Struthio camelus: one gene and its partners. The main gene of each other region encodes a partner of the protein of the gene in region 2 in a complex. Links are inferred from orthologs where the notes say so. Each region holds a gene or a part of one and is shown on either strand. Other genes may lie near its edges. The genes, in order: RAMP1, CALCRL, ADM and RAMP3.

Region 1 (7,009 bases), about 11 Mb from region 2:
AGTGCTGAATACAGAAACATTGGATAGGATTTTAAATCCAGCATGAGATTATACCTGCTGTAGTGATGGTGAGGGTGAAAGACTCCCAACCAATATGCATGCTTGGCTGAGTTCCTTTTGCAGTGACTAATGTAATGCACGTTTGTTGGTTTGGCACTTGACTACCTTGTAAGCTTTTGCTGATGCTCCGTACGAATCAAAACAATGTTTAAAAAAAAAGTCTTAATAGTGATCTGCTGATTTACTTCTACAGGATTGCAAATACGGATGTAAACTCATCAAAAAAACTTATGTTATACTTCACAGTATTTTCCATTAGTAAGATTTTAATAGCTTTCGCGTGTGTTGCGCTTGTCAAATGGTTTTAAAATAGCATGAGTGCTTTGCAGTCAGAATTACTTCGACAGTAGTGTTTTTTGGTCTATGGCTTTGCTAAGGAGAGATCATTTAGAACAATTTTTACTTGCATAATGAGGGAGCTGTGAAATAGCCAAGTCATTAGTGAGTAATGGAAGAACTGTAAGCGTGTAAGTCAAATGTTTAAGAAAAAATGATTCTGGTCAAAGTTCTTTTATAGAAATTCTGGTTTGTGTATAGCTTCAGACTTCCTTGAAAGGTAAACACTTGGAAACCTTATGTTCTTGCAAAGTGGTGAAACATGGAACACAGTTTTATAGATACTACTTTTATGTCAAGCTGTGTTACGCAGCATTTTATGCATAACAAATTCAGCTTCAAAGCATCCTACCGACTCACTTTTTTCCCCCTGCCCCGCTTTGGCTGAATTAGCCCAGAGGTTGATGTATAAATGTTTATAGATCTTGCATATTTGTTAATTTTGAAGCCATAAGTTCATTAGAACAGGTGAGAGGTTGTTAAACCTAATGGCAGTCAACAGTTAACAAGAAATGCGATGATATGACAGCTATTCAGAGTGGTATTAAAAATGGCCGTTTCCCTTACAGTGCCAGTGTCTGCAGTTGGTAGTTTTCCATGAAATTAATAGTAAAGATCTAAAAACAGACATTTTCTGCTTATTGAGATTTGTCCCATCAAATCATGATTAAAATGCATTACTTGAGCAACATAAAGAAATGCATGGAATCTGTACAGTGTCTTTTGGCAAGTATGTTTTATTTTAAGGGTATCCATCTGGCACTCCTGAGTGATACCGAAATTCTGTCCAGCCCAAATGCACACACTGGTAGTATTCACTGCTTTCAAGTCTGGATTTTAGAAAACTGGTAGCGAAACTCGGTTTGTTTTTTATACTATAAACTGGTTTCTAGGAATGGATTTCTAAAATGTAAAGTTTACATCTTCCTTTTTTTTTTTTTTTTTTTTTTTTTTAAACCAGTGTCGACCAGATTTGTTACACAGAGATTATATATTTTATTTTCTTTTTAATCACTTCTTTCACATGGTTCTTGAAGCTAGGAAACTTCTGCATGCAGACTTCCTCCAAACTCTGTAGCAAAATTATCATAGCTTTTACTGATTTTTCTAGCACGCTAAATTTGCTGGTGTTCCTTTTATCTCAGTTCAGGTGTATTCATGCTAAATTTACCTGCTTCCTCTGTTTGTTTGTTTTTAAGGTGATTTCTCTGACAAGGAGGAATTGATCATCTCGCTTGGAAGATTTTGCAAACTCTGTACTCCAGCTTGTTCCAGGATCATATTGTGTTTCTTACTGGTTTTACTGCAGCGGATCTTAATGAAAATTCACGTAGCATCATCGCATGATTTGTGGTCTTATGCGAGACAAAATAACCTGAAGATCGCTTGGGGGTGTCTTTTTGTGTATGAAGATCTTAAGTGGTTCTTCCCAGTTTTCCTGTTCTCCACAGTTGGCTCAAGCATTCAACAACAGGTTTCTCTAAGTGATATAATTAAAGGAGAATGTTTCAGTGAAACAGGACTTCTCCAATACTGGAAGGACGTTTCTATGCTTAGTGATCACTGAAGTAGACAACCCCCTTAATTCTTATACACCTCTTAATTTTAGGCATTTTAGGTAGCTGGTAAGTTGGTTCAAAGTACTACATGTTTAATAAATTGCCAACGTGTTTAAGTTCTTTCCAGATCATCTCATTCTGAATAGTTTGTAGAAATCTCACGTATCCTTTTAACACAAGGCAGGGAAGGGACGACGTCAGAGGAAGCTTTGTTTTACAAAACCAGGCCTCAGTGTTTCCCATACTCATGGACTTTGTTACGTAAACTGCAGTGTTACAACAGCAGCAATTATTCAGGAGCAGAGTGATCTTGAGTCCATTTTCATTTGGCAGTTCTGTAACGTGCTTCTGAGTCTGATGGCCAAATACTTCCTTCAGGATGATGTTCCACCCTAGACTTCTTTTCAGAATATGGAATTTTTTTTTTTTTTGGTCTTATAAATCCACTTCCATGGCTGTAAACAGAGGATGGGTGCCTAAATCCTTCCGTTGTGCCACATAGCCTGGTATAGTGGGACATCCCCCAGAGGAAACTTGGTTTGCGTTGCATAAGTTGACACAAGGGGAGGGGGAAGGATGGGGGGGATGCAAGCGTATTCTTTTGTGTGTGTGGTTAGTGTACAGAAGGGGTATAGCTTTTAAATCCTCTTCTAGCAGATGAAGAAAAGGCAGCTTGGGTGTATGTGTCTGGTAAGGGGGTGAGGAGAACTATCTTTGCTGCTGCCAGGCCCATGTTACCGTATCGCATGGCGAGGCAGTACGTTGTGGCTGTCCAAATCTCTCTCTTTGTTATACTTTGTTCTCGATCCAGGCTGCATTTGCTGCTGAAAAGAGTCTGTCTTGCCTGTGAATAAAGGTTAAAATTTCTTCTTCAAAAAGTTGTGCTTATGTTTTGCTGTTTTCACATTTCATCTCTTCCCTCTCCTCGTAGCAGAACTATTGCAGACAACGTGCTCAAAGCCTAGCACTGTGTTTCGCAGCTGATGTTTTTAAGTTGGATCCTGAAGCTGCAGTTGAGGCCTCGGGTCTGTTTTCTTCCCCGTTCACATCAAGATTAAAACAGCTCTAGGCTTTGCTCTGCCCTGTTATTTGGCCAGCCAATGCTGCCCTTTCCCTTCCCCAGACTTGATTCTGTAATTAAACAGGAGTTATTAGTGCTGTAGGTAAAGCTGACTTTGTGGCTTTGTTCCTGTTGGGAAGGCAGACGCATGCCTAATGTTGAAACGCTGAAACGAGGCCTGGCACGCTGCAGCGGTTGCTTGTTCATGCAGCCTTTTCAAAGGGAGAGCTAACTCAAACGGTGAGAGAAGGCGTTTGTGGGGTGGCGAGGAGCACCTCCTGCTCCGCCTGACCTCTGTACAGCTGGAGACCTCGTTCGTCTGGATGTGTGTGCTCTTAAATTTCTGAAGAGCCCAAGCGAGGCACCTTTCCACATTCGGGCTGGGCAAGAGTTCAGTCGATGAGCTGCAGGTGGAGCTCTACTTGCTCAACAATGCTTTTGCACTCCAAGTAATACATACATATGTGGTGGGTGGGTGCCTGTGTGTACGTATACATGTATGTATATTCTTTCTGAAGTTGCATGACCACAAGAAGGTAGTGTCCAAGAGTCTGTAAACAAAGAAAGGGAAGGCATGCTTCTTCTCCTTAGGCTAGAGGGAGCACCTTAGCAAAAAATGGAAGGAGGGCAAAGGAAAACGTGTGGGGAAGAAAGGATTTCCTTGGGTTTTCCTTTGAGAAATTTTCCGTTCCCTTGCCCCGCTCCCCGTCTCTGGACACCTACCTGCCTGCTCCGAGAAGATGGAGTTAACTCCAGCTCAGCTGGGCGTGACAAATCTCAGCTGAAGTCATCACAAAGAGTGGTTGGCTCCCCCCCCCCCCCGGCCAAAAAAACCAAACAAACCCACCACTCCGACAAACCAGTTAGAGACGGTTTACAGGACAGAAATCCCAACACGGGAGGAAAGCGCTCGGGAGAGGGAGGGAGGGAGGGAGGGCCCGGCGGCGCTCCCGCGGGCGGCCGCGCAGCGGGGCTCGGGAGGCGGCGGCGGCCGCCGGGCAGGTGGCTGCGCGGAGCGGCTGAGCGGCGCGGCCGCCCCCGCGCCCTTCCCACGGGCGGGCGGCCCACGGCGCCGCGGATGGCGGCTCTCCTACCTCGGCGCTTCCTCTGCTTCGTGCTGGGTGAGTGCGCGCCCCGCCGCCGAAACCCCCGCCCGGGGCTTAGAGGCAGCCGGGCTGTTCCTCGGGTCAGTGCGTTAGCGTCCTTTTCCTGCCGGGAGGTACCGTCCCAGCGGCTCCGAGCGCTGGGGAATAGCAAGGAGCCTAAAGGCGGCCCCTAAACGTGCCGGGGCGGGCGAGCGGTGCTCCCTGGCGCGCCCCGCTGCGCCCGACGCCCTTTCTGAGATCTTAGGTTTTCCCAAAGCCTGCTCGCTTTGGATGACTTCCTCTGCCCTTTCTTCCAGAAGTTCAGATCAGCTACCAGGAGGCTGTTTCAGGATCCCCCCCCGCCGCCCCCAACCACCACCGTTTCTGAACGGGACACGCGGAAAGGGCCGCGACTGTTCTCGCCACTCGTCTCCCTCGCGGAGGTTTCGGACTCGCTAGGTGCTGCCGGTCCAAAAATCAGGTTGGAAATTCTCGCGCTACGCGACGGTTTGCGCCCAGGGCGCTCCGGCCTTCTTCAGTGCTGGGGGGGGAAAAAACCCGGACCCTGCGTTGGTAGCACTCGGAATAAGAAGCGTATTTATTTAAGGTGACTTAAAAGGGAAACCGCACACCATCCCTGTGACACTGAGCTGGCAGGAAACTGAAGCACTCTTTGAGGAAACTCAGATTTCTTCTCTTTCTCCTCCTGTCCGTTCTCCCGCGCTCTTTTTCTGCTCCAAACCCTGGTAAATAATGTATCGAGCTCCGCCGCATACAACGCTCTTCTCCGTGCAGCGTCATAAACTATTTACTATCTTGCAGCCTGTGACTGTTCACAGGGAAATACAAGACGGCGCGGTCAGACAAAACGCATTCTCCGTGGTCGGTGGTAGAGAAACGCTCAGTGTACCTGACGAAGCAGGAAACAGTATCATGTTAATGCCTGCGATTAGCAATTCTTGATTATCTCGGATTTTTCTCTGCTGTGTTTTTCTAGTCCCTTTCCCCTTTGTTTCTTTAAAAACAAATTAGAAATCAGCTTCTTAGGCTTTCTTACCCGCCAGCAGGTTAAGCATTGGTTGCCCCCTTGTTTCTCACGCGAGACAATCAAATGTAATATTATAGTAACCTGCTAAAAAAAAAAAAAAGAGGAGGAGCCCCGTCGGGAATGCTTAGCGAGAGCCCAGTCCTAAAAAAACAAAACCCACCGACCCCTCGTGTTTATTTGCCGTCCCCGGAGCCGTAACGCCGCGGGGATCCTGTGTGTGCCGTCGTGGGCCGCTTTTCCCAGCTGTGAGCGCAGGATTTGAGTTGCGAGCGGGATTCCCGGGGGTTATTTTCACAACTGGGACGGCCTCGCCGGTCGAGGGACTGGGAAACCTCCAGCGGAGCAACAACATGCTGCAGCACCCCAAATCCGGACTAAAACCAACCCGTACAGCACAAGCGCCCTCTCCCAGCCTCTGCCATGCCGTCTGCCGCTTTCGTTCGCCGGCAAAACGGAAACGCAGTGGGAAATCCCGGCTGGGCCGGCGGTGCGTGAGCATCTCTGACCCCGTTGCGGGAGCATGGCTGTTTCTTGGTTGTGCTTCCCTCCTGGCTTATCCTGGTTTTAGTGAGGGGTCTCCACTCTCCGACCCCCCGGTCCGAAAGGGAGAGAAACGGTGCCGCTGCGGTTCGAGAATAGCCGGCTCGGGCTTTCTTGCCTTCCCAGCAGCCTGTGGCAGCAGGAAGGCTCCCTCTGTGCAAGCCACTTAGCCGTGATAGATGACAGATAATTGCGGCGCTGAGCGGTGGGTACGTTTGGTTTGTCCTGCGTCCTCTCTTCACTGGGTTTTTTTTTTTTTTTTTTTGAGCACATTCTGCACTATTAGCAAAAAAAAAACCAAAACCACGCCACCAATTCGACGCGTCCTCCCTGTCTCCCGCAGGAGCCTTTGCAGGGCTTTTTGGCTGCGGGGATGGAGCCCGTGAGCTGGCGCTGCCAGACTCCCGTTAGCTCCGAGCCAGATGTTGCCTCCTAAATCCGCGTGCAACCCCCCCCCCGCTCCGGGCCACGAGAGGGTGAGGCAGCTCCGCGCTCAGCGAGGACCGTGACACCCCCTGGCCCCGGGGGTGCCCGTCCTGGCAGCATCAGCTCAGCCTCCTTTTCTATGCCGAAAAAGCCTTTTTGAGCTGCCCGGGCTTGAAGCGACTTTGCAGCTGGCTGCCGAGTCCTTAAAAAGCCGCGACGGTGAGGATGTCAACTGTCCAAAAATAGCTGCAATCTCAGTCAGCAGACCCAAGGTGTAGCCGCACCCTGAGGTCTCAGGTAAAGGTTAAAAAATGGGGCTTTTCCCGGTTCTTTGGCCGCGGTTCCCTGCCGAGGCCGGCAGGCAGGAGGCAGCGCGCCTCGTTCGCTCTCGCCGAATGGACTGAGAGCTTTGAAAGCGACGGGTCCAAACTGAGAGTCATCACTAGACCCGAGCGAGCTCCTACTGCTGCAAGAGCTGGCTGCAGAGCGTCGCTCGCTTACGAGGGGAGAAAACCCTTAAAAAGGAAAATAGCTTGTTCCCAGGCTGCTCGCGGGAAGGTTGTAGTCTGGAAACCGTTATGTCGAAAGCGTTTAGGCAACTTGCTCCTCTTTGCAGCCTCTGATGAACGCGCCCACGGGGCATTGCGGCCGTTTATTCTGTTTCCCGCCTTACTGCATTTGATTTATCCGTGTGGTCGCTTCTTTGCGGGCCATCTGCTTGTTTGCGTGAAGAGTATTAGTCTTGGAAGCACCTTCTCGTCTTGGAGGTGGTTACATCCAGGGCGTCCGCTGGCTGGTCCTGCCTCGGTCCCGGTAGCAGGGATTCGGCCGGGGAGAGATTTCCGCGAGCCTGGGGAAGGGCTGTTCTGGGGGCTTCCTGGGGCAATCGCCCGAT
Region 2 (7,739 bases):
ATTCCAGAGCTCTGCCCATTTGCTATACCAAAGACTGAAAGCATCTCCCACTAACAGAGCAATTTCATGAGCAACTACGAGGCTTTTTTCAGTAAGTGCAAAGTTTAGCCAGAGAAACTACTACATACAAAACCCAATGACATTGCTACACGTGCTTTTAGAGTGGAGGTTCCATATTACCATAATACTAAAGCAGAGCCAGTAACGTGTGTTACTCTATAAAAATGATAGCTAGTCGGAAGCACAGAAGGAATTTTGCTAGAAGATCAAGAACACTGCAAACACATTGGGAACAGATGGGAACAACTTCTTAAAGAGAAATTCTATCTTGCCTTCCTAACTGTAGGCTTTGACTTTTCACTAGAGAATTGCCTTCAATTTCCTTCATAAATAGCTTATGTTAAGCTCAGTAGAAGTGGCTAGATACACATTTTTAAAATATCGCTGCCTATATTTTATTATTAAAAACACATTCATAGCAGTAGTTTCTTCCAAAGGACCTGAGCATTCAAAAATTATAGAAATTAGCACAAAATATCTGCCAGTACATACACAACACCAATGACTGGATGAAGTCTGAAATCAGATTAAATAATTCCCTCAGCATAAAAATATACCCACATTTAGGGATATCCTGCCCTCTGACAGTCAGTGGAAAAATTCCCACTGCCTCTAATTGGGCCAGGATTTCAACAGTTGTCTCGTATCAGGAGAAGTCCTTTCAAAGGGACAAACATTACATTCCTGAACGTAGAGCAAGATTCCTGCTGATCAGGAATTCAGAGTACAGTAAAATTTGAGGCGAACAGAACAGGACTTGCATAATGCAATTCTTGAGCTTGCAACCCATGCTTTATATTTATGTGCATAGCTTTGTACATTTAAAATTGAAGCCAAACAGTTCAACAGTTATCTGGTTATTGTCCATGCTTAATCTGCAAATGATATAGATTCTAGCCTCAGCCCTGCAAACACATGTATGTCTAACACTGCATAGGGGTGCAGTCTCACCACAATCTAAAATAGCTACTTAAGAATAGCATAAAAGAAGCTAAATCATTTAGCATCTTCTGCATTGATCATTTCAACAAAACGAGGACTCTTAAGTGTCCTCTTGTTTGACTTAGTACCACTAAATACCTTTTGTGCTACAGATTTTCAAAGCAAGACAAAGAGCTTGAGATTTCTCCTATATTCAGTGAAGTCAATGAGAATTTAAATAGACCACAAAAGTAATTACGGTGGAAAAACAGATCATTATTTTGAATTGAGCATTCCAGATGATATATCACTGTATGTAGTTTGAAAGCAATCACAGATTCAGACCTACTCTCATTTGTATTTATCCAGACCTAATATGACTCCTTTGAATCTATTTAAAGGACTTGGATTCAGAGCACAACGATCAGTCTTTCGGCACCTCACTGACCTGAGCAGGTTTAAATTGTTAAATACATTATTACTGCAAATGAATGACAACATCCCATAGCATGCACAATATGACTAAAAATAAACTGTATTGGCACTGTTGTAGCAAGCGCAAAACCTGGTCCCAAGGTGTTTAGCATAAGTTTATTAAGAGAGAGAGCAAAAAAATCAGCCATTTCTATTATTAGTTCAATCCCAGCCCCTATAAAATATAGGGATGACTAAATGAATCATTGCAGATCAAATCCAAGTGTTAGCGATAGCCTAAACTGTTTCTCAACTGTCCCTCAGAAATGAGAGTCCTTTTATTGACTCTACAGATCCATTGCTTACTTATACAAATAAGCAAATGGCTAGCCGTAGCAAAGCTAAATTATGACAGTCCCATCAAAATAATGCAACAGAACTTGTAAAAACAGAGGATATTGCATTTACTTTGGAAAGCTGAGGAGAAAACAAGTGACAAAACTCTCTTAACTCTTTATATTGGAAGGCAGGGAATCACACACTTCCCGCTGTCCACATTACAATAGTTTCTCAACAAGATGGGACAGTAGACAATTACCTTTTAGTAAATCAGTTTGCTGTATGTGCGTATGGAAAAATCTCAAACAGAAACACCCCAGCACACAAACAAACTTCAAATTCAAGCTAACTTTTTCCTCAAACAAACAGAAAGTCCAAACAAAACACAAGCTGTATCTTTTAAGTCTTATAATTAGGACATAAAACCTAATTATGAAATAACTCAAATATGATCTCTTTCTAGTATAATAATGGCAACAAGATTAAGAAAATATTCAGTAGGGAAATCTACAACAGTTTATCACCTAATTTGTCCTCTCTTGAATGAACTCCAGTTGTATTGAATTAGTCTTAAGGATCCTTTTCAAACCAATAAGCCTCTAATTCTCTCCAGATGCAAAGACAAAATTTGTTTAACTGTTATTAGGGTTTTAGACCGAATCCTTTAAGTGTTGATTAAGGTATTTTTATCACCCCTTCTGCCCATCTACCATTGATATCTACCTTAAGGATGTATTACAACAACATAAGTTATTTTCCTCATAGCCCTCTCTCCCTGCAGATTACAAATCACATACTGAGTTTAATGTAAAAGCACACACACGCAGCTCTTCCTTCTAGTATATCTAAAAATAGATGCATTCAGATGACACAGAAATATTGTACTTAGATAAAACAATGAAACTGTTTTGATCTGTACTCACCGCACACACTTCTTGTCAAAATGGTTTCAGATAAGTTCTTAGACGATCAGTTTGATTTCCCTTTCAGTGAGGGAGAAGAGAGATGTTTCTTTCCGTTCCCTCACCCTCCCCCCCCCCCCAGCCAAATAAAAGATCTACAGCCTGATCCCCTAGGTATAATCCAGTTACGGGAGCCTGGTGGCTCTAATGGGAGAGGTGACTGCTCTGGGGAGAAGAGCTGCTCTGGGCAGAGTTGGGAGCCTTGTCAGATGGTAAGTGAGCAGCAGCAGCAGCGAAACATCAGAGCTTCCTGTTACATCACAGTAACCCCGCCTGCATCTAGTGTTAAGTTACTTTTCTTTCTCAAAGGGCATATCCTAGGAAAGTGAGGCTCTTCTAATATTTCCAGACAAGAGTAGAGAGCTGCCTGACTGCTGATGGCTACCATGTGCTATCTGACAGCATTGTTCCTGTTGAGAGACAGTTTACTTTCACCTTCTCCGAGCTCAGCTGCGACTTGCCCTCTCAGATAAAAGCTAATGCTCTGAAACAAGTCAGAAAATACTCATTCCATTTGAAAGGAGACCACAGAACTTGTCTTTTCTCACATCACGCCAGTAAGATTCTTTCTCCTCTTCGAATTACATTCCCAGAAGTAAATCAGTTCAGACCTTTATCCAAAGACAAAAAATATGATAGCTGCATTCCTCCTTAATATGAGTGACCTGATCCATCTTTGACAAAAATTGCAGAGACTGCATCGTGTGCCATACTGTAAATGCTGAAGAGTTGTATTTGAAGAATATATTTGAAGAACATATTTCTCCGTATCAAACTGCATTAAGGGTCAGAATCCAATTTTCAAATTCAAGCAAGTGCATAGTTTAAAGCATCACCCTGTTTTTTTTTTTTTTTCCCCTCAAGGAAAAAATGTTGTATTTAAATAAAACAGTCTTTGAAATATCAAGGGTAGAAAAAAGGCAGCAGCATTGTTATTATTGCTAAACTGTAGCATACACTTTTTTAAATGCTAGTGATTTTAGAGCATCTATTATGAGCTGCCTAGTTTGGAAAATGGCATAATTGAAAACAAAGCTGCATTAAAGGAAATCTCTACACTAGCTTCAAAGAATTATACATTAGGACTTAAAAGTCTTTCTTTGCCAGTACTTACATCACTTGCCCTTTGTACATTGGATATCTGTGCTATAGACAGTCAAAATCTGTTCTCCAAATCAATGGACACTTGGAGCGTGCCCATGATAATACCAGGCTAAACAAATGAGAGTTCATGGAGCATTAAGCTCGAGCACTATAAGCACTTCTAACACGAGTAATCCCTTCCTGAGGCTGGAGTTTCATAAGATGTGCTCAGCAACCATGACCACTTAATTTGCTCACAGAACAGGTATTTTGCTTGCTCCTCACTACCCATTGCTCATACACTCCTTTTCATCAGCAGAAATGTTCATTGAACATGTTGTACACTGGAGGATCAGGGAACTGGTCTGTCCATTGAAAATCTTTTCCCTAAAAATGAAAAATAAAACAGCATCAAAACAAAACAAAACAACCCCAAGCCGGGGTAAGGAAGTACTGGAAAGAGAGGAAAGAGGGCCAGGAATACTTTAAATCCATATTGCCACTGGACAATACAAATTGTAAAATCACACTCCAAGCTCACTAAAAGAGCAGGCATGTGACTTTAATACTCATTTAGCATATACTGGGGCTTCTAGGATCTGACATCAACAAGAGAATTGTTTCTGAGTTTTATAATCAGTGAAGAATTAAGAACTGGCACTCTAAATGTAAACAGAAGTAAACTAGGGATTAGATCTGATTTTGAACAATGATGTAAATTAACTTCTCTGAAATAGACTGTGTCACCTCAGGTGGTAAAATTTCACCAGAAGGGAGCCTGGATACATTATTTTAGACCAATTAGGTCTAGGCTATATAGACAGCAACATTGTACATAACACATTGTAACCTAGATAATAACCTATGCGTTCTAGCCAAGCACTCACGTTCAAGATAAGCTCAAAATCTGAATTAGCCTGAAAGATTTATCACCTGGGCAATGTTTGATTTGGCATGCAAAATTCAGTTGGGTTGGTGTTTTTTTCTTTTTTTGGTAAATTAATTTTTTTTATATTCTACTTATTTAGCTGTCATTGGAACTTTCTTACACCTCCTCTTCAGGTATTTGAGGCATCTCAGCTGGTGCAATTTGCACTTCAAAGACCTAGAAAGGCCCCCACACTATTTTAACTCCTCCTCCTTCTAGCTGAAAGGCGTGTAAATCACACCAATACAGACTCCCATGGTAATCAGCAGTGTCGGTGTGAGCAGTTCAAAAGGGATCTAAATGAGCACAGCTGACTGCACTTTAACCAAAGAAAGCTTAAGAAACGTGAAACAAACCCACCGTATTTCCCTCTCTTATCCCGAGTTTTCAGGAATGAGACTAACCGGAACCAGCTATGAGAATTCCCTTCTCTGTTGTTGCGGTTATGACAAGCGCCTCTCCCCTGATTATAAAGGCGCTGTCGGAATGGCCGGTTCTCCCCCAGTTTTCTTTCCGGACAGCCAGCCAGCCAGCACAGCAGCTAGCACTCTCGGCCGTGTCCGCGGCCGCAGACTCCATGCATCCTGACCTTGTTCGCTGGAGAGACGCACAGCTCTTTCTAGCAAGAAGCTTCCATTCCCAGCGAAGGGCTGCAGCCGCTTTTGTTCCGCTGTCCGCCGGCGTGGCCCGGGCGAGGCGGCCGCCAGCGGCACGTCCTGCGCCGCACCGGGCGGCGGCGGCGGCGGCGGCGGCGGCGGCGGGAGCCCCCGCGGCGGCGCCCCCGCGCGGCGGCTCCGCGGGGCTGCGCTGCCACCTGGTGCGCGCCGACCGCGGCGCAGCTGGCGCGCTGTCGGAAAGGGCTCCCACTTTCAGGCCCGCGGCACTCCGAAGAGAAACACGAGATTTGCAGCTTACTATATACCCCGCCTATTCGTAGAATCAGAAATTCAGGGAGCATCTTATTTGTACGCTATTTCCTCTTGGCACAAAATAAGTATGCCTAACTAACACACAGTCGATGAATGAAAAAACCAGTCACATAAAGAAGCATCACGACAACAGAATCCCAGCTCAGCTCGCTATAGGTTTAAAAGAGATTATGGGATCAAAACCAAGGAAACCTCAGAAGCTCTGTGATTGCTAATGTATGTCTATAATTAGAGTGTATATTTATGCACCCTTAATAACTATAAATATATATTCCATTTTGTTCAACTATAAATACATATTTCACTTTATTAAATATGTATTCCAAAACATATCCACTTTATTTTTTTCCACATCCTTTCTCAAAAGAAGATAAAAGAAATAAGTCATAAAGCATATTGTCTCTACATCCTCATTAACACGTTTGAAAGGTAAAATCTACAAGGATGAAGACAATCTCAAAATGTAAATAAATGCATCGGTTTTGAAAAAGCGGATGGATTGGAGTTGCAGGGAGAAATGCTAGCTCACAAGGAAATGGAAGAGAATCAAGGGAGAGAAAATAAAAGTAAAAAGGAGGAAAAGAAGGGCATACCAGGAAAAATGTGAGGAAAAAAAAGTTGAGTAAAAGACATCTTAAGTTGTTTCTCAAAGACATTTTGCTTCATCATCTGCTTGGACTAAGGACACATACCAAGTTAATGCAGGTCAGATGATATATGGAAACTCATCAAATCTCTATAACTTCATTGCTTCAGCTTGTTGGCTCCCATCATATAATGTGGGGCAAATTTCACAGCACTGTGCATATTTCCTTCAAAGCAACCGAGGTGGATTCTAGAATGAGAGGACCGAACGAAAGGACTCCAGTCAATTCCAAGTGCACAGTCACTGGCAGCACACTGCTATAGCTCTATTTTCTGACCTCTTCACTATTCTGCCCTCTTATTCCCTATTTATTCCCCATATATGTTCCATTTATTCCCCCTTATATGTTCACCCTTTAATTCTGAGAGATGCTTAGGTCTTCTTCCTCTTAAGTTTGGTTGTTCTGCTGATACTGTGTTGAAGACCCAGGAATGAAATGAGGCGAATGAATACAAAAGGCATGAAAGGAATGTCTGGATTTGATCAAGATACAACCAGATTACACTGTAGTTTGCATTCTTTTTATGAGAAAAATTAACTTGATACACTGTGGAGCTATATGAAAAACATGGTAGGAAGATAGAGCTGGTATGGTGACCAAACCCACAAGAGTACGCACCAGGAAGGAAGTGCACTCTCAGATTAAACTTCTGATCATAATCAAATCAGTTTTTATTTAGATTCCACAAAAAAATCTAAGCTTTCAGGTCAGAAATATTAGCTTGATACTGGTTCTATTCTAGTTTGGGATGCCCAGGTTTCGTAAGAAACTCTGCCTTTCTTCCTGCATTCATATACTCCATGAGGAATCTGCTCTCTGTGTGTAACAGATTTGGAGAATATAAGGCCACATTTCCAACAGTAAGGAGTGTCTGTTTCCTCATTGGTGAAAGGGATGTATTTGACTGAAGAGCAGTTATAACATTTAGAGACAGTTTTTAAACTTACTAAAACAGACCTCTCAAACCAGATATCAACTCATCGATCAAGACCCACGGCAGGTCCGTATAGTCTGTATACTGACCACAGGATCTATTTCATGAATGAACACTTCACGTTTTAAACTTTTTCTCTAAATACTATTTCTACCTTTTTTCTTTTAACTTTACTTTGTAAGGGATGATTACATGGAAGTACTTCTCACCTTTACAAACAGTATGACAGAGGAACTGATGCTAGCTTCAACTGACAAAAATAAGCACTACCTTTATGGAATCAGTCAGAGACAAAGAAAAAAGGAAGAGGAAAAGCTGGACAATGTCTCCAGGCCTTTTCCTAAACCCTTTCTCTTCTAACTGCCTGTCCTTTATTTCTATGTAGCTTGCCAGATCCATGAAAATCCCTTGTTTGGGACCACACATAACAAACACTATTAGTAAAGGATTAAAGTTTTTTTCCAGTGGAACTGATGCTCTCCTTTGAACAGAAGGGGAACAGATTTCAAACATAAACATGTC
Region 3 (6,856 bases), on a different chromosome or scaffold from region 2:
ATATGGACAGCAAAAGGATTCAGTCATCTGTAACTTACTTCCTTAACTTCCCTTTAGTATTGACTTCTGTTATAGTCTTACAGGACAAATGAGGAAGTGAAGCAGACAGATTGTTTGCTCTCCTAAAGTCTGAGGCAAAGTAAAAAACTTTCATCTAGACCACCAATAACAAAATTCCCTCTGTTCCAACAGAGTAGCCCCAGCTTCTCTTGCATGATGAAGGGGCTCGCAGAGCAGTGGCTTTTGGTGGCCACCAAGGCCTAGGTCTCCAGAAGGAGCCAATAAGCAGCCACAGGTTTACCCTGGCGAAAGAACTGTGGGGCTATAACCCTGCAGGAGAGTGAAAGCATACAAGGGATATTGATGCCGCAGTCAAACTATGTACTTAGCACCAAATAGATGTGAAGGTTTACAGTTCCTTGTACAGTCAACTCCTTCAGGAAATATAAAGGTTACACTCTTCATGCAGTCTCTCAATCCAATGTCACCTGTCAGCTTAGTGACACCCTTTGCCAGAATAGGGAAGGAGCCATGACCCCGAGCAGGTTTTTCCGCACCAATATGCATCTCACTCTGATTTAGGGGACTTTGTTTGGTGTGTTCAGACCTTTCAGATAATAAGACTCACTAAAGCATCTCCAATCAGAGTACCAAAAATGGAATTGTCCCTTGACACTAATTCCTTTGAACATATTGGCACAGATAGAGCTGACTGAGTGCACTAAAAGCAAGGCATTCTTGCATAGAACTTGACTGGGGCTTTACATGCTTCATAAGGTGTGATGCTTCTATTGTATCATCTTTGCACCAATTTCATACAATATGAAATACAATCAAATATATTCTTACTCACTGATATGAATTCACTAAAATTCATAGCAAGCCCAAATGAAACATACAAAAGAGCTTCCACTGGCTTCAAACGATATTCTTGCATAATCAGCACAGAATATTTGCCCCAAGCTAATTCCTCATTGGTGCATATAGGTTTTGGAGTCTTACTTTGGGAATAAAACTTAGCCTGGATAAAATGCTATCCAAACAGCAACTAATCTTCACAATCTCCCTACAAGAGCAGATACATATTGTAAAGTCTTTTGTACATACGAGAACACTGAGAGGTTGAATGACATGCCCAAGATAATCAGTAAACAAGTACAAGAGCCGGATGTTCCTCCAGGCCAACTTCTCCCCAATGGATGAGGCAGCATAGAGAGGAGAGCCTACACTTCAGAGGAGAGTCCAGTCTCTCTGAACTGCATGAACTGCCTCATAATAATACTTCATGAATAACATTTCCAGGGAATGTTCTGTGTCAGTTTTTCAAAATGTAAGTAACTTCACTATTTATGAAATAAGTTTTGAAAAGGCGGCACTTTAATGTCATAGTACAAATTTGGTGATTATTGTTCGTTTTCAAATTATGTAGGAATGCAGATGCTTAGGAAGAACAAAATGAACAGCTGAACTGAGAACATGATGTTTTGTGTTAGATATGAAACGAGCTTTACCCCCTGAAGCCCTTTCACAAATCACGTCAGCAACAAACTGCATTTTGGCTGATAACTCCTGTGCCAAAGTTTGATCCCACATGAGGCAGAACGAGCTAATTTTGTATCACTAAAATGGCAGTTGTAATCAGCATTGAACTCATGTGTGAAATATTATTATTATATTATTATATTATAATTCCTGAAACCACACAGGATTCTTTCTGTATTGTTTGCCCAAGAGTATACAAATTGCACTTCCCTTTTGGCCAAGGATGTTAATGAGGGATTTTCCAGCATGTGGGGAAGTATGTGATTTTATTACTGGAACAAGAGAGATTGTTTAACTCAAAGCAATGCCCATGACACAAAATCCTGCCCTCTCATTCAGAAAAGTTAGGTTCACTTTCAGCTTCTGCTGATCAGGGAAATGCTTGGACTCGCTCGAGCCTGAGCTGCCTCACGAGGTCTCTAAAATACCGTCATTATAATTTGATGCGCTTGTGTAGTCTTGTCATGATATAGTCCCTTACTAGACCACCTGTTTCCCCATTTCTTCCTCACTGAGTGTACACGACAAGCCTCCCTCTCTGTGCACTTCTGCTTCGGAGCACAGGCTGCGGCGGAGCGGCAGCAGGAGCACTGCCGCCGAAGCAGCGCCGCGGGGACGGGGCCGGCGGGACCCGCACCTCTCACCGCTCCCAGAGAGCCCGAGGGCTTGCCCGGCCCCGGCCCGCGGCAGTCCAGCAGGTGTGGCGCAGGAGCGCACGGGGCTTGCCCGGCAGCCAGCTCGCGGCCGAGGAGCAGCCTCACCCCTGGAGACCACGCCAGGGGCGTGCGGGAGAAAGGCTGGATGGCTCAGGGGTGCAGACGTGAGCATCCAAAATGAGTGCTGACCCACCTTCCAGCAGATGCCAAGCTACAGCTGCGCGGCTGATAACGCAGAGGGCGTGTGAGGGACCGAGGGCAGCAGCCGGGAAGGGCATGGGCTCCTGAGCACAGGTAGCTGCCGGAGACAGAAGGGCTCCTGCACGCTGCTGGCAAGGGAGGGAGCACCTCAGACCGAGTCAGCCGCATAGGAAAGTTTCCGTCACCCCCTTGCACATACCTCTGCAGGGTGTAGCATGTACCGCGGTTATCTAGAAAGGTAGAGTCACAAGTAAGTACTCACCTGCTTTTTTAAATACTTTGCTTGGAGCAAGCAGAGTGAAACATCCCGCAGACTCCAGTCCGCTGCTTCGTACGCTCGAGCATCTGTCGCTGGGAAGGGGACCCTGACGCAGCAGGTCTGCCGGGGGCATTTCCTTCGGTTCCGCAGAATGTGCACTGCAACAAATAAGTATAGAAATGGTCCATCTGGTGCTGGCTTCTGCAACCCCTGTGAAGCCAGAGCTCCACATTTCCAAAGCATCATAGAGCAAAGATGTTGAAGACTGTAAAAAAAAAAATATATATATATATATGTAGACAGACCAAGGTTTTACTGCAAATAAATCTGATCCTGCAAATATTTATGCACTGGTTTAGCTTTATTGGCCTGTTAACAAAGGTTAGGCACGTATATAAAGGTTTGTGAATTAGGGGTAAAATGACCCACAACAAGTCTTTCTTGAAGTTCGTAACCCCAAGCATTTTAGATTAACCTGTGCTTGGTCCAAAGCAATAATTCTTCCTTTGTTCAAAGGTATATCTAACCTTCCTGTTCCGATACCATTTAAAATGTGATTTATTTTAAACGATCGAGCAAATCAAGTAAATTTTATTAGATAAAAATGCACCCAGGTTGAGTCATAAATATTAATGATAGCTGATTTGTCACCTCCTTACTTATGTAATGAAGGCTGACTTTCATTGCAGTTACTCATTGTAATTCAAGTTGTCCAAATATGGCTTTATTTTTGAAACTTTGTTATTTGATAGATTTTGAAATTGATTGGGTCTAGTTACTACACCCCTTCTCCAACCCACCTAAAGCTAATGTGCCTAGAAAGAGAAATTATGCTACAGACCGTGTAAACATAATTCTATATCAGCAGGTAAAAAGTCTGTCCTCAGACTGTCCCCAGTTAAACAGTACGAGGGGCTTATCAGATTTTCCAGGTTATGCCATGACTTGGAATCCACACCTAAAAACCATTGTTACAATCAACAGAATACCGAGGGGGTTGTTTAAGTTAATTTTCATTAATCCTCTTATTTTTACCCTACTGTGGGGTGCCCCCAGTCCATGCTAGTATGATTAAGAAGTGGTCGGGACATGGGAGTGGGGGTGTCAGAGAACAGCCAGATGCGCCAAGGTCCACCCACTTCCCCCGCGCTGCTGTATAAAAGGGAGCGGTGGAGCGCAGCTCGGCAGTGGTTACCCCAGGCACACAAAGAAGGAGCTCTCGCTCCTGAGCGAGCCCTCAGGAAACCGTGCAAGTTCGGATCGCTACTACCACAACATTTGTCTCAGTGGATTATCCTCACTGTCAGGTAAGAAACCTTTTTTTTCCCCGCCTAAAGGTGTAGGGGAGGTGGAGAGGTAGTGGAAACCTACTAAATCTGAGCTGTTTTGACGTGCTTGAAGTTATGCTGCTGAGTCTTGCACTGGCTCTTGACATCAGCTGCAGTTTACAACATAAATCCCAAACTAGCTAGTTTGCCATGTGAAGGGGGAAGATGAGCTATTAGAGGATAAGCTTCCAGGCAGCAAAACACTTGCTGGAGTTTGGAGACGATGCTTCTAAAAGGCAGCTCTTTCTAATCTCATCGGTCTGCTAAATCCTATTGCAAGCCACTGGGGGTATTCTGGCAGTCCTGCTGGTTTTCAGCCGCCCCTGCAAGTAAAAGTCTCGACAAATGTAAACTCTGGAGGCTCTGTTATTTACTCTGTGATAAATTGCTGAGAAAATATTAGCCTTTGGTTCATATCACACACAAAGTTTCCAGTAGTTTAGGAGCTATATATCCCGAGGGAAGGAGTTCTCTGGAACCACCAGGAAAAAAAGCACAGACCTTACTTAACTTTTACTAGCAAACATGCTTACAATTCTTCTCTTCTCCCTCCACCAGGAGTTCAGCCAGAATGAAAGTGGTTCACGTAGCCCTGCTCTATCTCGGCTCTGTGACCTTCCTCGGGGTGGATGCTGCTGCAAGGGTGGACGTTGCGACAGAGTTCAAAAGAAAGTGAGTATCGGAGCGCGCCCTCCTGCCAGCGCCCAGCCCCGCTCTTTAGAGCTGCGGAGCCTCCGCGCCTCCGCGCCGGGCTCCGGCCGAGATCAGAGGGAACTGAATGCCCTGCGGGAATAGCACAGCTCCTAAAGGGCCTCGTGCCCTTTCAGGAAACATCCAAAATAAAATAAAAAAAAATCTCGGCGCTGGCAAAGATTTTAGCCCCTCGATTCTCCTCAGCTTGGCTGCTGCCTTGCACGCGCTAACAGGCTGTCCTCTTCCCTTGCGCTCCTTTCAGATGGACGAAATGGGCACTGAGCCGAGCCAAGCGGGACGTGAAGCCTTCGGGCACGCTCCGAGGGCTGGGGCCAGCCGCCGCCGTGCAGCCCCTCATACGGAGCCAGGACGTGAAGGAGGATCCTCCTCTCTCGCATCCCAGGTAATTTCTAGTCCTCTCTGGGCTCGGACACTTGCTGAGGACAACGGAAAGTCTCAGGGTCCCCTTGTTTCCGGGTATTTTGCTCCTTTTCGCTATGGATTTCCCAAGCCCCAGGGACAGGTCTTGCAGGGGCTGCACAACGCGCTGAAAGCAGCCTCCCACATCCCTTTCCCCGCGCACTTCAGCTGGCGGGAGATAGCAGCGCCTTTACTGTGAAAGTCAGATATAAATAGTAACTTGAGCTCTGGATCCATAGATAAAGTAACAGCCATTAAACGGCGGGGCCTCTCCTTCCATAGGCAGCAAGCTCTGCTCCGCGGCCAGATCGCCCCTCTCCCGCCGCTCGGCGGAGGGCAGAGCCGGTGGAGGGGGGTGCACCGACAGGACAGGCCCGCCTCCAGCCTGGGGGCCCCGTGCCCTCCCCGCCCCAACCCCCGCGGTCCCCTCCTCCAGGCCCCACTACGCCTTTCTCATGCCCGCTCTCTTCCTGCCTCGCAGCAGCCGGGAGGATGCTCACATCCGCGTCAAGCGCTACCGCCAGAGCATTAACAGCTTCCCCCACTTCCAAGCCATCCGCACGGGGTGCCGGTTCGGGACGTGCACGGTGCAGAAGCTGGCCCACCAGATCTACCAGCTGACCGACAAGGATAAGGACGGCGCCGCCCCCGTCAGCAAGATCAGCCCCCAGGGCTACGGCCGCAGGCGGCGCTCCCTGCCCGAGCGCCGCCGCCGGCGCCCCCGGACGCGGCCGGCGCAGCCCCTCGCCGCCGTCCTCGGGATCTGAGCGCCGCGGGAGCGCCGCACCACCCGGCTGAGGCCGTCTCGGACGGACCGAGAGACGGATGGAGGGTTCGCCGGCGCTGGGGAGCCGCCGCGAGGAGGCGCGGAGCCGCGTGGGGGGCGAGACCCCCTGGGACCTGGGGGCGGCGGAGCGAGCGGCCCCGCGCGAGGAGGCTGCGAAGGCCGCGTCGCGCACCAGGACGTGCAGGGACCGACCCCGCTCCCCGCCTGCCGCGGCGGTGGGGCGGTCGTTGACTCTTCACCCTCCACCGCGGCGAGGAACCGCCGGCTCCCGCGCCAGCGGGACCAGGGACTGGAAGGCGCCCGGGCCGCTGCCCGCGCCCGGCTCTCCGCCACCCGCCGGCCGCCACGTCGCCCCGCTGCCCGCGCCGCCTCCCGCCCCCTGCACCCGGCGGGGCCGGGACCAGGGCCGGGCCTTCCTCGCCAGCGGGCTACAGCCAGAGCTGCCCCTGCCCCCGTGCCCCGGTAGAGGTGGGTTGCTCGTCTGACCCGAGGAGGGAGCGCTCGGGGGGACGTGGGCGAGCCCCGAGGCGGCGAGTGCGTCCCCGGGCGGCCGCGGCTGCGCGACCCCCGAGCCCGTGGCCGCGGCCTCGCCCGCTGCCCCGGACTGTTTGACAGGCCTCGTTCAGCCTCCGCAAGGAAAGGTCCCCCACACCTGCTCTACCCTCTGCGTTATCTGCACCCGGCAGGGAATCGGACACTCACTAGTCCCTGCGGGGACTGCGACATACTTGAACGTCACAGAGAGGAAAAGTGCAATTGTACATGGTTTTTGTTAATTATAAGTGCGGTGTGTGTGGGTCATGAGATTCGTATCGATATTTAAGATTGTCCCGTGTCATGTCCTATTCGTATCTTTTTTTTTTTTGGAAAAATATATTTTATTTTTATACTTTTTTATATATAAATATATATATATATTGCATAAGGGCATTTTAAGACATTGTATCCCCTCTATTTTTCATATTGTGAA
Region 4 (6,885 bases), on a different chromosome or scaffold from region 2:
ATTTTATATATATTATATATGTATGTAGAGAGAGAGAGAGAGAGAGAGAAACTCCTCCAGAATTAAAAAAAAAAGTAGCTTTAATCTGGTACAAATAGTACCCCTGAAATGCAGACATTATCTAAAGGATGAAAGAGCAAATGTTTGGAGAAGGAAGTCAAAATAACAACCATTTGTTTAAAACAAAAAAAACAAAAACAAAAAAAAAAACACAAAAAACAACCTGTTCTGTTAAACATCCTGGTCAAGCCCTGAAGTTTCTCCATGCCTGTTTCTATACATAAAAAGAGAATAACCACATCTCAAAGTATTTTGCTAAATACATCATTGTTTCCAAGGTGATTAGATGACAGTAAGTAGATGCCTTCTAAGTATCTAAGGCTCTGCTAAACAAAGTATGAGGATTTCACCTGACAGCTCAAGTTTCCAGCTGTGCATCTCACCACATTTGGGATGTTATCAGCACTTCATAGGGGGAATCAGTACAGATTAACTGTTTGTGTACCAGCTGCCTCAGCTCACAGCTTCCCCGCACACCCACATCACAGCAAATCCCACTTCTGCAGTAATTACTAAGCTTCCAGGGAGCAAACACGCTGCCTGTCTTGCCATCCTGGCAAAAGAGTGATGACACTCAGCAGATGGTTCTGTATAGTGATAATGTTTTTTAAGAGCTTTAGACAGAAAGATATGCAGAAAGCAGTAGTTTGAGTTTAGAGAAGTAAGGTCTCAATCCCTATGCAGACAGAATTCCCACCGAATTCAATGAGAGCTAACACTGAGGCATCATGGCAACATCTTTACCTTAAAGACCGCATTCATGGGTCTCTGGTTAGCAGAAGCCATTAGGAAACGTGGAAGAAAACATGATCAATTCAAGTGAAAATCCTTCAGGAATAACTGACATAAAAGTACATTTATATTACTTGAGAAAGAACGACTTTGGTTTTCTGCCACTTAAAGCATTCCTTATCATGAGGAATTCACATTATAAAACTTTCAGAACTCCTAAATGGCTTTTCTAGCAGGAAATTAGTCTAATTGCATTTTGTTCTTCAGTGCATCTACCCTTTCAAACTTCAGTCAAAAGTAATACATTATCAGCTAACAGATACCATCAAAATCAGTTCTTCTGCAACCTTATGTTAGGAAAGCAACTAGCACAGGCAAAAATTTCTAACACCTGATTTAGTGGTTAGTGTCTCTCTGGTGAAAAACGTTTCCTAGCTTTCTGAGCTACAAGGGACGTTACTCCTCACTGCGCTCATTCTCTGAAAATAAATCTCCGGTAATCAGGTTTGTATTGTAAAAGTCACGACAACACCCTGATGTCTTCCCAGTCAAAAAAAAGACTGCTTGGTTCCCTAAATTTAACACTGAAAAAATAAATCCTTAAGCGTCAAGACAGGTGTTGGCCATTTTTTATTCTTTTTCAGTTAGGAAGCAACAAAAAGCTTGTGTGATCAAGGTAAGATTTTAGCAATCCTTGAGCCACAGAGAATCAGAAAGTTTAAGCATTTGATGTGTCATTCTTTTTACAGATCAAATCAAGACAGTGCTACCAAACCTTGTCAGAAACAACTATCCATTTATTTATAGGTCTTTTCACAGAAAGATGTGCAGTATTTGCCAACTTTGTACTTTGAAAGGGGCATCAAGTTAGCAAACAAAGTTAGAGAGTCCTCAGATAACCCTTTTAAAATGTATGAGGCCTGATTTTCTTCCCTATCTGTGACTCACAAGGAATTAACTCACATTTCTGGGGTTACTGTAGAGTGAGGAAGATCAGAACGGACTTCTCCCAGCAACTTTAAACCTGCCTACAGCACATTACATCTGGGCATCCTAAAGCAAGCTGCCTGACAAGAGAAAAATGAAGTACTTCTAACAGCAGAGTTAATCTTGAATTAAATAAATGAAGGCTCTGAAAGATATCTGCACTTTTACAACCGGCTGTTTGTAACAGAACACATCCTAACTGCAATCAATCCTTCAGCAGAAGCAGAAAACCCTCCTCTTTCCCAAAGATCAAACCTGCCTTCCCAGAATCAGATTTGGGATCTGACAGCTAAATAACAGCAAAAATCGGTCAGATCATCTTTCTTGGGGTGGGGGGAGGAGGGTAAGGTATCAACGCACAGTACAGCATTTCTGGATTTATCTCCTGGCAGTATCCGTCTGCGAGATGTGGGACCAGCGATTAAGCAGCCGCTCGCCTTGCTGATGTCGCGTCTTGCCTGCCCGCCGGCCCTAGCCGCTGTAGCCGGTGCGCAACCCGCTGTGTCACTCCCCACGCGGGGCTTCGGGAGTATTTCCCCAGCGAGGCCGGCGGCTCCAGCCCGCGGGAGAGCCGAGGGGGGCCGAGCGCCCCGCAGCCTCCCCGCCCGGCGCGGCCGGAGCGCGGCTCGGGCGGGCTCCCCCCGCGGGGCAGCCGCCCGCCTCTCCGCCTCCCTCCCGCGCCGCCCGCTCCCCGCGATGGCTATCGCAAGGGACACCCCCCCCCCCCCCCAGCCAAGAGATGATCCGCAGGGCCGGGGGACACACGCACGGCGGGGAGCTCCCGCCTATGCCCAACTTCATGCCCGCCCGCCCCCGGGGACGCGCTCGCACGGCTGAGGATGCTCCGCAGCCCCTCGCTGCCCCCCCCCCCGGCAAGGCAGGCGCAGCGGGGACACCTCGGTGGCCGCCGCTGTCCCGGAGCGCCTCGGCACAGTGGCCGGGACGCCCCCCCGGCAGGCGCCCCCCACTTACCCCACAGCAGCAGGACGGGGAGCTGCCGCCGGCGGCAGCAGCTGGGCGCCTCCATCCCGGCGCGGGCGGCGGCGAGCGGCCGCGGGGGACGGAGCCCGCATGGGGCGGCCGGTCCGCAGCCGCGCAGGGCTCGGGCCCGCCTCAGCCCCCCCACCGGGGAGGCTCCTCTTCATGCCGCGGCGTCCAGCCCCGGGCGGCGGCGGCGGCAGCAGCGGGGGCGGCGCGGAGGGGCGCAGCTCCTCCGCCCCCGGGTGCTCTGAGCGCCGGGGGCGGCCCCGCGGCCGGGCGGGGCCCGCGGGGGCGGGCTGCGGCGGGGCTGCTGGCGGGGGCGTAACGGCCTCGGAGGGAGCTGTGTGCGCCTATGTGTGCATGCATGGTGCGTGCGAACGCGCCCGTGAGTGCGTGCATTTGCGTGCCTGTGTCCATGCATGGGTGCACTCGTGTGCAAGCATGAGTGTGCTTGGGTGCACATGGGTGCATGTCAGTGCCTGCATGTGTGCATGCATGTTGAGAGTGCATGTGTACGTGTGTGTGCACATGTGCATGCATGCTTGGTGCATATGAGCGCACAGGTCAGTGTGCATGCATGTAAGTGCATAGGTGTGTGTGTGTGCATGTGATCACGCACACATGTCAGTATGTATTAGAGCATGCACATGTGAGTGTACACGCATGCGTACAAGTGCTGCCGTGCCTCTGGGCCCTCCAAGAGCCACAGCAAGCCACAGGAATCCCATGGGAGACTTCTTGCCCCCCCACCCCAGGAGTCAGAGTAGCCTCCCCTCTCTTGCTGTGACACGCTGGCAGCACGGACAAAGGCGTGAGTGGCTGGAGGTCACTGGGGACCAACATATTAGCCTCCTTAGTATTTACAGCTGAATATGTGCAGAGAGCTATCCTAACCCTGCACTGATGCCAGCACAGAGGAGCCAGGACCTTGAAGAAAATGCTTAATGTATTTTCCTGTTGCCATTTTGTCTCTGTACAGCTCTATCCAGAGGGGGAGTGGTACAGCTCCTCATTGTCATCAACAGTTAAAGGCTGTGTTCCTGGAGCTCTCTCTCTAGGAAATTAGCATCCCTAGCAAGAACCACCACACTGAGAAGCCACTAATGAAGCCTTTTCTTGGCTAACAATATTTATACTGTTCAATTTTAATAAGGAGCCAGAGCGTGTTTCTAAGTACAGGAACGCTCAACCTCAAGAACTGCGTGTGAGCAGAACATGAAGTTACTGCCATTGTTGAAGGTCGGATGTATCGCAAAACTTGAGACTTCAAAAAATGCTAATGTCCTACACAAGAACAGATGTACATTTCTGCATCAGTTGGGTTGTTCACATTGACTTTAAATACTGCCTGGAAGAGTAACTTTCAAAGTTTTTGGAGAGTTCCAGCTAGTGACCCCAATGCTACAGGATTATGCTACCGGTATCTGAAGGCAAAGTACTCCATACACAGACTAAAAGCAGCCGTCTAATTTATGCTGTTATCTAGGCTGAAGGAAATGGAAAACTTGAGAAACCACAGAGATGATTGTGAATGCAATGTGTTGAAGTGGCTCTACAGACATTCAAGTGCATAAGTTACAATGAACCTCCTTTATTTGCGTGCCGCTTCTTCCTCTTAGCTAAAAGCAAATCTGGTAAAATTCCACGGGCCATAAATAACCAATAGGTCAGGGAGATCCTCCTTCAACTGAGGGGCTGGCACCTCTGCTTTGCAAGGAGTATCTGCAAGCTACTCCTATCAAAAGGACTACAGAACGCAGAGTAGTGACAAGTATGAAGCTCCACACGCTGCAGACTCACTATAGCATCCCTCCTAACAGTGAGATTTCAATTTCCCTTTCAAAATCTGTTACAGTCAATCTCTGACATCACAAATAGTATTTCCAAGAATTTGGACCAGTCTTCAGGAGTGTTAAGACACTCATATACTTCATATACTGCAAATGATGCAGCATACATTATACATATATTTTACAATATACATTATGCAGGATTGGAGATGATGCAGACATTTTTCTTCTAATCTATTTTCAATATCTTCACCTGTTTCAGATTAGAAAAAACTCCATGCAAAACTGGCAGATTTCTAGATTCACAAGTTACTGCTTTCAACTAGCAAGATTCAGCCAGAACTTCCCATTTTATATCTGTGGCAGATATTATGAAGATGCAAGTAAAACCTTCAAGGTAGAACAACAGCTAAAATTTACAGGCAAATGCACTAATTTAGAAATGGTCCAGTTATAATAGAGCACAAGCAAACTATGCTGGCCTGTATCTTCAGCTACATGTATTAAAATGAGTAATTCTGATATGCAGGTATATCTGAACAAAATTGTCATGGGATTAGAACTATCAATAACAGGCAACTTTAGCTGTGTAAAGGCTTTCACTAACACTGTTTCTATCAGTTGCAGTAATGCTAATACATTTACTTCAGAAAGGCTGTGAACCTTTTTATTTTGCAAATCTGCCTCAGCAACTTCACATCTCTATACCAGCAGTGGAAATCTGTTTCGCCTTCAAATAAGAAATCCTACAAATTCTAACTGCTGTATATAACTCTAAATCCCTTCCTTGACAAGAAGCAGTAATAATATTCTCAAAAGTATAGTTTGTTGTAATTCTCAAAAATACAGCCTCCAGAGAAAACAACCCATTTTCAGGTACCCTGCAGAGAATGCTGCCATCACATCACTTCAAGCATTGTTTCAGATACTTATCCTCCTAATAAGCCACTGACTAGAAAAATGACAGCAACAGACAGGTAAGTGGCTGTCGCAGTGTTAAAGTTCTCAGGGAGTTTGAAACAAGAAAAGGGAGGTGGAATCAAGCCAGACAGGACAGGTATCATCATGAGCACCAGATCATTCATAGTTGTGTGAGATAATGTAATGAAATCTCATCTGCAGAGGTTAAACTGATCCTGCAGAAACAACTGTTCAGAAGAAAACTAGGTAAAGATACTACATCATGAAAAGTAACATTGCCCTTCCTTGTAGCATGAAGTGTTGGCCTTACAGAATACCCACTTGTCTGTGCAGATCGATATCTGATCCACTGCGGGCCAGAAGGTTTTCTTCTGTGGTTCCTAGCAAAATAAGTAGTTTTGTATAAAAGATATATTAAGATTTTAAAACCACATCTTAATGGAATTGTTTACTGAAATGAGGTCTGGAAGAGCAGGTGGAGGTTCAGCTCATCTGCCTTTTTTGTTTTTAAACTGAGAATATGTCATCTTGCTTTCAACTGGTTAATCTTTCTTCTCCCATTCAGCGGTCCTACGACCATGTCTTTCCTATTCCAGAAATTTTAAAAAAATACATAAAAAGGACCTGAATTAAAACCATTTCCTCCTCTGTGTTCTGCTTGCATAATTTCACGCAAACATTTTCTCCTGTCTTTTTTCTCCAATGTAGAAAAAATACAAATATATTAAAAATATTATTATTAGTAAATGGCATCTTCCTATGACTGAAAAGACATTTTTCAAAGACCAGACTGTGGTATTGAGTGCACATAAAGCTAAAATGATTTTAAGCACATCAAATTTCACTAGCTGAAATTCTTTATGCCTACATGACCTGAACTAAAGAGGGGGGAAAAAAAGACATTTTTCTATGTAAATACCTTGATTTTCACATAAGAACAGACACTGATTATGGGAGTACACAAATACTTATGGCACTGTTCCAAAACTTTAAGATACATGTGAATTTGGTCTGTGATTTCAGTGGGGTTCTTATTGGTTAGATGCTTAACTATCAGCATCATGTAGGTATTTCAAAATACTGTCATTTTCTGAGATGCTGAGCTACTCAATTATTACTTGGCAGCATTCCCATTGGTATAAAATGTGTACTTTTTTTAAAGGAATTGGAATATTCATATTTTGTTAGCTTTCTTGTATTTTAAAGTGCATTCATGCAAAAAAAAAAAAAAAAGAACATAGCAAGCTACTATTACACGCCATCAAGGCTAATAAAAATGGCTTCAGAAGTGTCAAGACAGACATCAAGGGAAAGCAGAACAGATATTATATGGAAATGAATTTACTTCCAGGATGAAATAAAGAACTAAAGTAGTTCAAGTGAATTTTATTTGCTGTGAAAGAGGATGACTTTT

What was found.
Region 1: the proteins of CALCRL (region 2) and RAMP1 are in contact, whole or in part, in a cryo-EM structure (PDB 6E3Y), measured with the Homo sapiens proteins. The link is inferred for Struthio camelus from reciprocal best matches to the Homo sapiens genes CALCRL and RAMP1. Residues at the interface, in NP_001258680.1 of Homo sapiens: Asn39, Met42, Thr43, Gln45, Tyr46, Glu47, Tyr49, Gln50, Lys51, Ile52, Met53, Gln54, Thr68, Trp69, Asp70, Gly71, Arg113, Arg119, Thr120, Phe228, Leu231, Ile235, Thr239, Val243, Ala244, Gln250, Trp254, Tyr255, Leu258, Phe262; in NP_005846.1 of Homo sapiens: Trp59, Ile63, Tyr66, Arg67, Ala70, Phe83, Trp84, Pro85, Asp90, Phe93, Leu94, His97, Gly98, Phe101, Arg102, Cys104, Pro105, Ile106, Ser107, Gly108, Arg109, Ala110, Val111, Arg112, Asp113, Pro114, Ile118, Leu119, Phe122, Ile123.
Region 3: the proteins of CALCRL (region 2) and ADM are in contact, whole or in part, in a cryo-EM structure (PDB 6UUS), measured with the Homo sapiens proteins. The link is inferred for Struthio camelus from reciprocal best matches to the Homo sapiens genes CALCRL and ADM. Residues at the interface, in NP_001258680.1 of Homo sapiens: Val36, Thr37, Asp70, Gly71, Trp72, Asp90, Tyr91, Phe92, Gln93, Asp94, Phe95, Asp96, Pro97, His114, Ser117, Thr120, Trp121, Thr122, Tyr124, Thr125, Asn128, Val135, Ala138, Leu139, Leu141, Phe142, Thr145, Thr191, Leu195, Ala199; in NP_001115.1 of Homo sapiens: Cys110, Arg111, Phe112, Gly113, Thr114, Cys115, Thr116, Val117, Gln118, Lys119, Leu120, Ala121, His122, Gln123, Ile124, Tyr125, Gln126, Phe127, Thr128, Asp129, Lys130, Asp131, Lys132, Asp133, Asn134, Ala136, Pro137, Lys140, Ser142, Pro143.
Region 4: the proteins of CALCRL (region 2) and RAMP3 are in contact, whole or in part, in a cryo-EM structure (PDB 6UVA), measured with the Homo sapiens proteins. The link is inferred for Struthio camelus from reciprocal best matches to the Homo sapiens genes CALCRL and RAMP3. Residues at the interface, in NP_001258680.1 of Homo sapiens: Arg38, Asn39, Met42, Thr43, Gln45, Tyr46, Glu47, Tyr49, Gln50, Met53, Trp69, Asp70, Ser117, Arg119, Thr120, Phe228, Leu231, Ile235, His238, Thr239, Val243, Val245, Lys249, Gln250, His251, Trp254, Tyr255, Phe257, Leu258, Phe262; in NP_005847.1 of Homo sapiens: Trp56, Cys57, Leu59, Phe62, Ile63, Tyr66, Glu67, Thr70, Cys82, Tyr83, Pro85, Asn86, Pro87, Leu88, Gln90, Ile93, Thr94, His97, Arg98, Cys104, Thr105, Val106, Asp107, Arg108, His110, Leu111, Glu112, Asp113, Pro114, Val118.

The regions. Positions count from the first base shown.
Region 1 is NC_090947.1:4,641,749-4,648,757, forward strand, and holds the start of RAMP1 (receptor activity-modifying protein 1), read left to right. Parts: upstream 1-3,990; 5' UTR 3,991-4,093; coding exon 4,094-4,136; intron 4,137-7,009. UniProt on the Homo sapiens protein: Accessory protein that interacts with and modulates the function of G-protein coupled receptors including calcitonin gene-related peptide type 1 receptor (CALCRL) and calcitonin receptor (CALCR). Required for the transport of CALCRL to the plasma membrane.
Region 2 is NC_090947.1:15,873,029-15,880,767, reverse strand, and holds the start of CALCRL (calcitonin gene-related peptide type 1 receptor), read right to left. Parts: upstream 3,001-7,739; 5' UTR 2,658-3,000; intron 1-2,657. UniProt on the Homo sapiens protein: G protein-coupled receptor which specificity is determined by its interaction with receptor-activity-modifying proteins (RAMPs). Together with RAMP1, form the receptor complex for calcitonin-gene-related peptides CALCA/CGRP1 and CALCB/CGRP2.
Region 3 is NC_090946.1:23,983,505-23,990,360, forward strand, and holds the start of ADM (pro-adrenomedullin), read left to right. Parts: upstream 1-3,849; 5' UTR 3,850-3,965; intron 3,966-4,544; 5' UTR 4,545-4,557; coding exon 4,558-4,658; intron 4,659-4,941; coding exon 4,942-5,082; intron 5,083-5,580; coding exon 5,581-5,866; 3' UTR 5,867-6,856. Other genes in the region: SBF2 (myotubularin-related protein 13), read right to left, coding at 2,662-2,791. UniProt on the Homo sapiens protein: Adrenomedullin/ADM and proadrenomedullin N-20 terminal peptide/PAMP are peptide hormones that act as potent hypotensive and vasodilatator agents. Numerous actions have been reported most related to the physiologic control of fluid and electrolyte homeostasis.
Region 4 is NC_090943.1:62,832,022-62,838,906, reverse strand, and holds the start of RAMP3 (receptor activity-modifying protein 3), read right to left. Parts: upstream 3,010-6,885; 5' UTR 2,807-3,009; coding exon 2,752-2,806; intron 2,165-2,751; exon of another isoform or gene 2,150-2,164; coding exon of another isoform or gene 2,140-2,149; intron 1-2,139. UniProt on the Homo sapiens protein: Accessory protein that interacts with and modulates the function of G-protein coupled receptors including calcitonin gene-related peptide type 1 receptor (CALCRL), calcitonin receptor (CALCR) and G-protein coupled estrogen receptor 1 (GPER1).